Pelodiscus sinensis: one gene and its partners. The protein of the gene in region 2 interacts with the protein of the main gene of each other region in a pairwise test. Links are inferred from orthologs where the notes say so. Each region holds a gene or a part of one and is shown on either strand. Other genes may lie near its edges.

Evidence for each region.
Region 1: the proteins of STAT3 (region 2) and NFKBIZ interact in a two-hybrid assay, tested with the Homo sapiens proteins (2 studies listed by BioGRID and IntAct). The link is inferred for Pelodiscus sinensis from reciprocal best matches to the Homo sapiens genes STAT3 and NFKBIZ.
Region 3: the proteins of STAT3 (region 2) and GADD45GIP1 interact in binary tests that used the Homo sapiens proteins (3 or more experiments, as listed by UniProt). The link is inferred for Pelodiscus sinensis from reciprocal best matches to the Homo sapiens genes STAT3 and GADD45GIP1.

The regions. Positions count from the first base shown.
Region 1 is NC_134711.1:151,892,679-151,896,423, reverse strand, and holds the start of NFKBIZ (NF-kappa-B inhibitor zeta), read right to left. Parts: upstream 3,029-3,745; 5' UTR 2,934-3,028; coding exon 2,681-2,933; intron 207-2,680; coding exon 67-206; intron 1-66. UniProt on the Homo sapiens protein: Involved in regulation of NF-kappa-B transcription factor complexes. Inhibits NF-kappa-B activity without affecting its nuclear translocation upon stimulation.
Region 2 is NC_134739.1:9,064,625-9,068,369, reverse strand, and holds the start of STAT3 (signal transducer and activator of transcription 3), read right to left. Parts: upstream 2,615-3,745; 5' UTR 2,463-2,614; intron 1-2,462. UniProt on the Homo sapiens protein: Signal transducer and transcription activator that mediates cellular responses to interleukins, KITLG/SCF, LEP and other growth factors. Once activated, recruits coactivators, such as NCOA1 or MED1, to the promoter region of the target gene.
Region 3 is NC_134729.1:12,996,403-12,999,666, forward strand, and holds GADD45GIP1 (large ribosomal subunit protein mL64), read left to right. Parts: upstream 1-857; 5' UTR 858-908; coding exon 909-1,249; intron 1,250-1,891; coding exon 1,892-2,222; 3' UTR 2,223-2,758; downstream 2,759-3,264. UniProt on the Homo sapiens protein: Acts as a negative regulator of G1 to S cell cycle phase progression by inhibiting cyclin-dependent kinases. Inhibitory effects are additive with GADD45 proteins but also occur in the absence of GADD45 proteins.

The DNA of each region.
Region 1 (3,745 bases), on a different chromosome or scaffold from region 2:
AGTCAGAGCTAAATTCACTTACACGAGAGCAAACTTTGACCCATCCCATCAAAAATACTGAATTACCTTGAATTCATCAGCAACATGGCCTGAGGACATCTGTTTGCTGCTTCTAATGTGCAATAGGAGCTCCTTCACTGAATTTTTCACACGTACCCCTTGGAAAGGTCCTCTGTGCTGCTTTCCTCCCCCCATGTGGTGTTCGGCTGTTGAGACACAAAGCAAACAAAATTAATGCACTAGCACAATCTGATGCAAGGAAGCAAATGGAAAATAAGCCGAAACTGTTTTCAACTGAAAATGTAGAGCGTCTTTTGATTTCTGAAATGCTTTAGTGGCTGACAATGTATTCTGAAGAATATAAACAGTTTGAATTTTATTTATCTGGAGTCTTCCACACACCCCACTTATATTATTTCCAGCTTGTTAACCAGTAAAACACATCGTAATCAAGGAACAAAAAGACAGCTCCTTGCCCCAATCCATTACATATTAAAAATATATTCAATGTCAAAATGCTGTAGGACTGTCTCTAACAATTTTGAGAATTACTTGTGTTTGTTATCTCCATACTGGCTGAAACTACTGCTTTAAAAAGGAAAAAAGACTTGCTTTGTTAGAAGTACAATACAACTGTGACAGTCCCTGCCTAACCTCTTCAGTCTCATATCCTCTTTAAAATTAAATCAGTTTTGAAGCTACAAAAACAGAAGTGGGAAAGGAAATGATGACCTAAGGCATCCAGACTTGCAAAAGGAAGTTATGTGACCTGATAAGGAAACTACGTAGTCAGTCTAACATAAAAATCTATATACTGAAGTCTAAAGGGCGATCAAATTTCTCTGGCTAGCAGAAGAGGAAATAAAGGGCTCAGGACTACTGAGGTCCAGTATGAGTCTGTGGGCTTCAAAGCACTTCATCCCAGCACAGTCCAGCAGCCCCAGCTTTCCTTCCCCAGAGGACTAGCCAGAAACACAGCCTTTGAGTGGAGATATGAAGTGGAAACAGGCTTACAGGTCAACCCTAACTACAAATAACATTTTTACTTTTTAAAAAAGGTATTACCAACAAGACAAGATATTTATGGTCATGCATATATGATTAAAATGTTTTCAACAGAAATTACATGGAAACTAAATTGAACCACATACAAATCAAATCAGAGGGGAAAGTCTATTGTTTATTGCATGGTGGGAAGGGGGGAGGGAAAAGAGAGAAATAGCAGATAATTATAGAGTACTACCTTACAATGGTGGAGCAAAGATATTCAAAGGACTTATATTTAAATAAGCCACTGTACATAAAAGGCTGTTGGCAGATTGTGCTGACATCCTAATACATACAGATGATACATACACAAATCTCCTAGGGCTAGCTTTTGATACCCTTACTCCGCTCTGAAATCAATGGGATTATTTGTTAAGTAAGGTGCTGCTTGCCATGGATAAAGGGTATTAGAATGCAGCCCTAAGACCTCATCCCCTATTAAGCAAAGGCTTCTGAGGATGCTCTGCTGAGCTCACAGGATTTTTTTCCCTATAAAAGATGCACTAGACTAGAAAATGAATCATCCAATGCAAAATATAGTTCTTTCCCCCCCATTGGAAAGTGAATTTCAAAATATGACAGTCTTTCTAAATAAACTTTCTTCCTAGCCTATATTTAATTCTCAAAACAGTTATTAATTCCCAGGCATTCTTTTTCAAACTATCCCTTGTGGTAACCAGCTTGCTTTATGCAGTGACGGTGCCAGCACCTCTCTCCCCTCCTCACTTCAAAATTTTTTCAAAAATAAGGACTAGCAGAAGGAAAAAAAGGGACCACCACCATCACAAGACACTATTTACACATGGTCTCACACAAATCATAACTATTTGAATCTTTTGAGATCTAGAGTCTAGGTTTTAAGTGAGCATAAGCTACTTTCATCAGACGACAAATCCAGCTGCAGAATAGGCCTGGGAGGTAAGCAAGGGTGAGCAGAGCATTTGACCATTGAGCAAAATCCATAGATGCTGGAACTAGGAGCGCTGCAACCCCGGCCTGGATGGAAGCCGTTTCCATCATACATCCTTCCACCAATACCCATTACAAAGACAGCTTCCCCAATTATCACCCTTAATATCATTATCTCTTAGACACTAACCTCCTTCCCCCCTCGCCCTCCCTTGGTTCTAAAATCTGATTTGTCAATTTTATACGTGTTCACTTTTTTGATTGTATCCTTTAGTATATGTAGTCTTGCCAATTTCCTTCCACTATTTGATCTGAGGAAGTGGGTCTGGCCCACGAAAGCTCATCATCTAATAAACCATCTTGTTGGTCTTTAAAGTGCTACATAGTCCTGTCTAGGGTTTCCAGTGGGGTTGAAGAGCGCTCAGCTCCCTTCCCCTCTAGAACAATTACTCCGGCATCTTCTCCCTGGGAAGGGCGCGCTGCAGCCACCCACGTCCCGTGCAATGCGGAGAGCAGCGAGCACACAGGGCAGCCCAGCGCCGCTCCGCTGCCTCGGCTAATGTGGACGTGCCTCCCCGTAGGGCCCCTGCCAGGGCCCCGCGTTACGGCCGGCGCTAACTATCCAAGCGGGCAGGCTCCGCGCCTCCCAGAGCCGGTAGGGGGAGAGCCGCGGCCGGGGAGGGCTGCAGCAGGCAGCGCCCGGGGGAGGGGGGGACGCGCGTACCTTGCGGGGCATGGCGCGGGCTGTCCAGGGAGTCCCTCCTCCAGCCGTCGCCCCCGCAGCTGCTGACGGACAGCTCCGAGTCGGAGCCGGGCGAGCCCGGGGCGGAGGGAGCGGGCGAGCAGCTGCTTTCGCTGCTGGAGTAGGGGGAGGCGCCATAGAAAAAAGCCAGGTTGAGGGGGCTGCTCATGGAGCTGGAGTCGCCGTCGGCCGGCGCCTCCCAGCTGCTGCTGCTGCTGCTGCTGTCCACGATCATGCTCCTGGCGACGGGAGCGGAGAGACGGCGGGGAAGGCAGCAAACCGCCAGCAGGAGGGGGGCGAGTGTGGGGAGGCGGCGGGGCAGGCGGCGGCTCTTATAGCAGCTCCGCCCCGGCGGGGAGCGGGTCCGGGGGAAGCGGCAGGCGCGCAGGCCATTGGCCCGGGCGGGGTGATGCTGCCGGGCTGGGGGCTGGCCTTCCCGTAAAGTCCCGGGCTTGGGCAACACCCCGCGGGCGCCAGGCGGTGGCTGGGAGAGCGCGGCCTCGCTGGTTTCGGAGCGCGCGGTGAATCATTAGCCCGAGGCTGCACAACCCACCCCCACCAAGCCAACAACAAGGCTTTGTCCCGTCTGGCGCGTCTCCCGCTGGGCGGAGGCACCCTGGGCTACGAGGCTCCCCCACCATGCTCCACCCGACCCCACGCACCAGCCTGGGCTCAGGGGCAGGCGCTGAATGCCCTACGTTGTACATACAGAAGTAAAGAAGGGGTGAGAGTTGGCCTCCCTTGCTAGTATTCCCTGTAGGCTCAGTGCGTGGGCAGCCACCCAGGAAAGGTGCTGCTCAGCTGACAGGGCACCCACAGGATGTGTCTCTACTAGAAGTGCAGATCTGCCCATGCGTCAATGCATAACGAAATGTATTCCACATGCACGGATGGGAAAAAATTAGAGGGAACACTGCTGATTGGAATTTGGCTATGGACTTCGATGGGGCCAGAATTTCGCCCAGGGTTTCTACCCCAAGCAGCTTGCCAAAGGAGCAACAGCCTTAAATCCCACCCTTTTCTAGCAACAGCAGGAGAGAGGGGCAA
Region 2 (3,745 bases):
TGGAACCGGTCAGTATCACCCAGTATGGGTAATGCTTACTGGTTAAGCTTTCACATTCCTAACCAGGGATGTGAAATTACACTGAATCAACTAGTCAATGGAATTTCCACCAACTAGCCGATAAGCGGGGGAAACTGCAGAACTGCAGCTAGCTTAGCTCCCAGCCCCAGGAGCAGAAGGGCAATGCGGGGAAGGGACCAGGTGAGAGCCAGGAGAGCGGATTCCCAGCTCACAACTGGTTCCTCTTGCTGCACTTCAGCCTTTTAAGAGCCTGCATGTAAGGCTATGCTTATCGGCTAGTCGCCTACATAGCTATCCCTAACTCCAACCCTCTGCCCAGTGAAAATGAGCAAGGGACAGGTAAAAACTGTTAAACACTAGCCATGTAACGCAGGGGTTCTCAAACTTTGTGCTACTGCGACCCCCCCCCCCCCCCCCAAGTTGCTTGCGACCCCCCGGGGGGTCAGGACCCACAGTTTGAGAATCGCGGGTGTAACCAATTACAATTTCATCAGTTACAGGGGCTCAGCCAGCCCTGCAGGAGTTTAACCATTAACTGGAAGCGATAAGCATCAGCTCATGCCTCAACCTCTCACATTCCTAGTGGGAGATGGAGTGAGTGGGGTGCCAGGCCTGGGAGAAGAGGCCATGCTGGGGCAGAGCCTCAAGGAAAAGGCAGAGCAGGGGTGTTTGGTTTTGTACTACAAGTGGAGCCTTTCTAGTCTGGCACCCTTGGGACTTGACTGGTGCAGAATCAGAGAATTTGCCCAATCATGGGAGGTCAATATTGTCTAGCAGGATTACCAACACTCCCACCGCTTCCTGGGCTCAGGGTCAATTAGAGCTAATCAACAACAGCACAGAACACTAAGAGCCAGACCTGGTGGCTGTAAACAAACTTTATAGGACTGTAGGAAACTCATCCACTTACCAAGGGTGTGGCCATCTGGTTCACTAGAATCCTAGAACTGGAAGGGACCTGGAGAGGTCATGGACTCCAGTCCTCTGCCCTCATGGAAGGATCAAGCACTAAAATCATGCCAGACCGCACATGCTGCCGGACCAGAGAGGTTCAACCTTTCTGGCAGCAGGTAGCGAAGGCCAATGAAGGCTAAGCATTCCCTAACCGAGGCCATGGGCCTACTCATGCTCTGTCCTGAGGCCCCTTCCTCACTGCCCCTAAAGCCAATGGGGGCTCAGCTCCAGCTGGCCAGCGGTTGAATCACAGGGCAGGGATGCTCTGGCCAGTGCTCAGGCCAAAAGTGGGGGGTGCCCGGGGCTCCTCCAGCTGAAGGAGGGCACTCAGAGCTTGGGGGGGAGGGGGGCACGTCCTCAGAAAGTTTGTTTCTGGGTAAGAGAGAAACGGCTCCCTGCTCCCCCCAATGACTGCAAACCCATCGCCCCTGGACACTGGACAGTGACTAATAACAAAAGCAAAACGACAGCATCGTTTCCTGGCCTGGCGACGAGACCCACGCAGCATCTATACTGGCCTCGGAAAGAAAGGCGATGCCCATCATCCCAAGCTGCTCTTAGGCCTTGTGAGGTGGGCCCCAGGCAGCGCGAGCCACACGGAGCTTTACAAGCACCAGCCATAAAGTTTCTCCAAGAAAAGACACCGCAGCAGCTTTCCCCCCACCCACTGCAGGTACCAGGGAGCAGCATCAGCTCCTAACCAGAGCGAGTCCGTGACACAAGGAAGGGTGCTCAGCAGCTGGGCCAAGCTTTTCAATCCAACCCCTAGGCAGATGCTAGGCAATGGGGACAGAGCAGAGCCCGGCTGGCCGGCTCAGTTTCCCTCGACCTCCATCGCCATCAGCTCTGGAGCAAGAGGCTGCCCGAAGGAAACCAGGAGCCAGCATCACAAGGGAGCTTAGCCTCCACGGCAGCACCCAGCCAGGGCCACTGACGCCAGGCGAGGGGCTGGGGAGAGCCTGTATCCCAGCCAGGCTGATGCAAGACAAGATGGATGTGCGAGAGGGGCCGGGTTCCGGCTGCCACTTTCAGTTTCCTCATTCTAGGGCTTGTCAATCTGGCTCTAGCGCTGCCACCGGCCTCGCTCCTCAGGGCCCCAGCAGCGTGAGAGAGATGCCAGAGCCCGGCAGGCAGCACCCATGGGACCCGCTGCCCCAACTCTAGGCTCCTAGCAGCCTTGTCCAGCACCCATGGGTGCAGATGCCCCACAGCCCAGCCCTGCCCTGCCCTGCACCCATGGGACCTGCTGCCCCCCCCCCCGTGGCACGACACTGCCCCCACTGGAGCAGCACCCATGGGCAGGCACCCCTGGGTGCAGCTGTCCCCCCCAGCCCAGCACCCATGGGCTCAAATGTCCCCTCCCTCCCAGCCCCAGCCCCCGCCCCCAGGGAGCAGCTTGCTCCCCAGCACCCACGGGTGCGGCACCTTCACGCACTCATGCCACAGGCGCCCCCCGCTTTGCCTGCAGCCCCAGGGCCCCTGCTCACCCGCGGGGACGGGGCTCCCAGGCTCCGGCTGCCTGGGGCGCTCGGCCTCCTGCTCCCACCGCGGCAGTCCAGAAACCTGCTGCCCCCTCGGCCTCGGCCCCGCCCCCATTGCATACGTCACGGAGCCGCTGGCCAATGGCGCGCCGCCTTTGCTCATTATTCACGGGGGGCGTAACCTCTCGGCCAATCGGCACCTCCCGTCTCTGACTTGATTAATTATTTAGGATTGGCGGGGGGGGGAGGGTGCCCCTAGTTGGCTGTTCCGGCGCGAAGCTTCCCCTCCCACCGCAGGGCCGAGCCGAGGGACACGGGAGCCCGGAAGCCTCGCGGGGGGAGCGGCAAGTGCCGGGAATGTCCATGCGGGAAACTCAGCTGAGTTCCGGGCAGCGCCTGACGTCAGCACGGCGGGGCTGCCGCTGGCCCCGCCTCTTAAAGGGCGAATGGCCGCTATGGGGGGGGGGGGGTAATCTGGGGACAGGCTGTTTACGGGGTATGGGGGGGCGGCACTGGGGGAGAGGTACTTGGGGGGCTGAGCCTGGGGGGCACATGGGGAGGGGTACTTGGGGGGGTTGAACCTGGGGGGCACATGGGGAGGGGTACTTGGGGGGCTGAGCCTGGGGGGCACATGGGGAGGGGTACTTGGGGGGCTGAGCCTGGGGGGCACATGGGGAGGGGTACTTGGGGGGGTTGAACCTGGGGGGGCACATGGGGAGAGGTACTTGGGGGGCTGAGCCTGGGGGGCACATGGGGAGGGGTACTTGGGGGGCTGAGCCTGGGGGGCACATGGGGAGGGGTACTTGGGGGGCTGAGCCTGGGGGGGGCACATGGGGAGGGGTACTTGGGGGGCTGAGCCTGGGGGGGGCACATGGGGAGGGGTACTTGGGGGGCTGAGCCTGGGGGGCACATGGGGAGGGATACTTGGGGGGCTGAGCCTGGGGGGGGCACATGGGGAGGGGTACTTGGGGGGCTGAGCCTGGGGGGCACATGGGGAGAGGTACTTGGGGGGGCTGAGCCTGGGGGGCACATGGGGAGAGGTACTTGGGGGGGCTGAGCCTGGGGGGGGCACATGGGGAGGGGTACTTGGGGGGCTGAGCCTGGGGGGCACATGGGGAGGGGTACTTGGGGGGCTGAGCCTGGGGGGGGCACATGGGGAGGGGTACTTGGGGGGCTGAATCTGGGGGGCACATGGGGAGGGGTACTTGGGGGGCTGAATCTGGGGGGGCACATGGGGAGGGGTACTTGGGGGGCTGAGCCTGGGGGGCACATGGGGAGGGGTACTTGGG
Region 3 (3,264 bases), on a different chromosome or scaffold from region 2:
GGGTTGTGAAGTGTCTACCCTTGAACTAGACACCAGCAAGCTGATATTTCATCTGGGCGTGGCATGAGGCCGTAATGTCAGAGCTATTTCATTTCCATGCTGTGTTGCAGCACAAATGCCCCCAGGTTGTGAGGTGCAAGGTGTCCCTCCAATGCCGTTTCTGTCACTTCTGACACCACTGTGCCCCAAGAGGATGGCTTTTCATCTTGGCACCACAGACAGACAGCACACCATCTCATTCCATTGCTTAGGTGCTTGCATGTCATTCCAATGCTACTTTCGGACCCTGTTCTGAGGGCCATGCCCTGGTCTGATGTAAGCGTTACCCCTGGGGGGGCAGGGGAGTCTTGGTCTCATTGCCCCTGTACAGGTTTCCCAAGGGTTTCTCTTTGTAGTGGTGGCCGACCTGGGAAATCCGTCAGGGCGCAGAGCACCTGCTGCCAGCTGGCTGGTTACGTGGGCTCAGGCTCTGCCCGCCTGTCCCAGGATTTTGTTGCTCAGAGGCGGCCACCTTGCGTGGGGGGGGCCTGACCACATGTCGCTTGCACGTGACACTGACTCAGGGATGCCAGGTTTGGCACCTCAGCTCAGCCCCGGGTTAGGAGCCAGGGCATCATGAGGAGACGTCTCATTTTGGGGCACGTGGCACCTTAGCTCCACTTCCGGTCCTCACTGGCCCAAAAGCCCCACTTCCGGTCCTCACAGGGCCTCCCCATGTCCACTTCCGGACTCCTATACCCACTCTTCCGCTCCCCAAGGCCCACTTCCGGTGGTTCTTCCCTTCCCCCCCCACCAACTTCCGCCCTCCACCACCCCACTTCCGGTCAGCGGGGCGGCGGACACGTCTGTACGCAACCCGAACGACTTTCTCGCAGGACCCGCCCCCTCGGGTCACGTGACGGGCCAAGATGGCGGCGCCCATGCAGCGGGCGTGGCTGGGGTTGCTGCGGGCCGCGGCCGCCCGCTCCTACCACGCGCGGCCGCCCCCGCGGCGCCAGCGGGGCGGCGTGAACCGGCCAGACCCCGACGACCCCCTCGTGCCCCCGTGGCAGCTGCAGCCCGCCTATGAGGCCAAGCTGTTCGCGCGCCACGGCTCCGTCTCCGGCGTGGACCCGGCCCGCCTGTGGCCCAGCCCCGAGCGGCTGCGGGAGATGGAGGCCGAGGAGCGGGAGTGGTTCCCCGGGCTGAGGGAGATGGAGGCGGCGCTGGACAAGAAGGAGCGGGAGGAGGAGAGGCTGCGGGTGGAGAGGTGGGGAGGGGGCCAGACCGAGCGGGGACGAGCTCTGGGCCCTAACAGTGGTGGGAGGGGGGGCCCTGGCACTTGACTCATTCCAAGGCGGGGGGAGCTCTGGTCACGGAGGGGTCAGGTAATATTCCTGCTAATCTTTCCACCTATGTGTGGAATATTTGTATGTGCACCGAATCAGGTGCACCACCAGTAGAAGCAAAAACCTAGCAGTGGGCAGTCTGCTGAACAGCTGGATGGCATAGCTGCCCAATTGCACAGCTTACAGGAAACACTGGGGAGAAACCTCATCGTGGAGGTGTCTGGAAGCCCAAAACTTGACCCAGTTCCTGGGGGGGGGGGGGTGCTGGAACCTAACCTTAGTCCTGGAATATTGATCCCCATTTGGAGTATGACACCCCCCACAACACATTACTGTAGGAAATGCCCCAGCCCTGCTCTTATGAGCAAGGTTCCCAGGCCCGCCCCCCAGGAAAGGGGAGTACGTTATTTTACTAACTCCACAGGAGAGGTGACCTCTGTCACCCATACAAATTGCCAAGGCAAGTCCTGGGAACGGCAGTGGCAGGAGAGATACAAAGAGCCTGCCGCTTGTGCCCTGTCGTGGTGAGTGTCTCACGGTTTGTTTCCGATTTGCGCTGGCAGAGAGAATCTGATCGCTGCCAACATGGCCAAGATGCCACAGATGATCGAGGAGTGGCGGCGGGAAAAGGCAGCGCGCAAGGAGAAGGAGCGGGAGGACAAGGCCCGGAAGGAGCGGCTGCTGGCTGAGGTCCAGGAACGCTTTGGTCACAAGGTGGACCCCCGCAGCACCAAATTCCAGGAGCTGCTGCAAGAGATGGACAAGAAACAGCGCAAGGAACTCAAGCTGAAGAAGAAACAGCTGAAGGAGGAGGCCAGGAAGCAAGCTGCTGATGCTGCCACCACTGCCCCAGAATCTGCCCCTGCCTCAGCTGAGGGGGCGGAAGCAGCATAAGGGAGTACACGATCTAGAATCCTCAGATTGGGAGCCATGGTTGTCCTGAACTTAAATTCTGTTCCCTGCGAGTGCTGGACTGGGGCTGAGCAGGGGAGGTGGCAGCTCAGATCTGGAATGCTAGTCGTGCTTCTTGGAACAACAAGTACCCACCACTGGTCATTCTACCTGGGGGTCAGCGGCAGGGAAAAGGGCACTGCACGGCCAGGCCAGCCCCTGAAGTGTGCCAAGAGGGGTGGACAGCTTCCCCCCCTCCATGCTTGTACACCCAGCCAGCTCAGGACGGGCTCTCCAGCCACCCCCAGCTGCATTCAGATCTGCGCTTGGGCCACCTCACAGAGGTTGAGAGAGGCACAGGGAGGTCATTGGAGGATCCTGCTCAAAAGCCCCAGGCTCTTCCCCTCCTCCCCCCGGCCACCATTCAGTTGTGTAACCGCTAGGCTCCTTTCTCTCCCAGCACAGCCGGTTCTGTCCCTTCCAAGTTGGTGGCCTGAAATCCCTGTACTTGTATGTTGAAATAAAAGGCTCTGACGAGGGCTTTGGATACCTGGGACTTTCATCAGCCAGTTCTCTCCTGGTTACAAACATGCCTTAGAAACCCCTGGTTTTTCTGGTAAGAGTCAAGTCTTGCTTACCCCTTCCCCGCCACGGGGATGTCTTGAACTGCTGGTATGGATTGTTACACAGCAGCCCCGTTCTAGCCCAGAGGTGGCTGCATTTCAGCAGCGAGCAATGATGTAGTCACTCTTCACTAGGGCTTTTCAGTGGTAGGTCTCAAATAGCTCTCCGAAGACAGCCCGTGTCACTGCCCTCTTTTACAGAGGGGAAAACAGGCATGGGGAGGAGAAGTGACTTGCCCAATGTCACACAGGAGGCCAGGAACTGGAACCCAGGCCTCATGACATCACAGCCTGTCCTCTGTCCCCCAGCCCATGCTACCTCCAGGAGCAGCACAGTTTAGTTAGGAAAGAGTGAGATTCATTATCATAGGCAGAATTCCCTCCCGGGGCCTGTGCCCTGCACTCTGCTCCTAGTTGTGCTT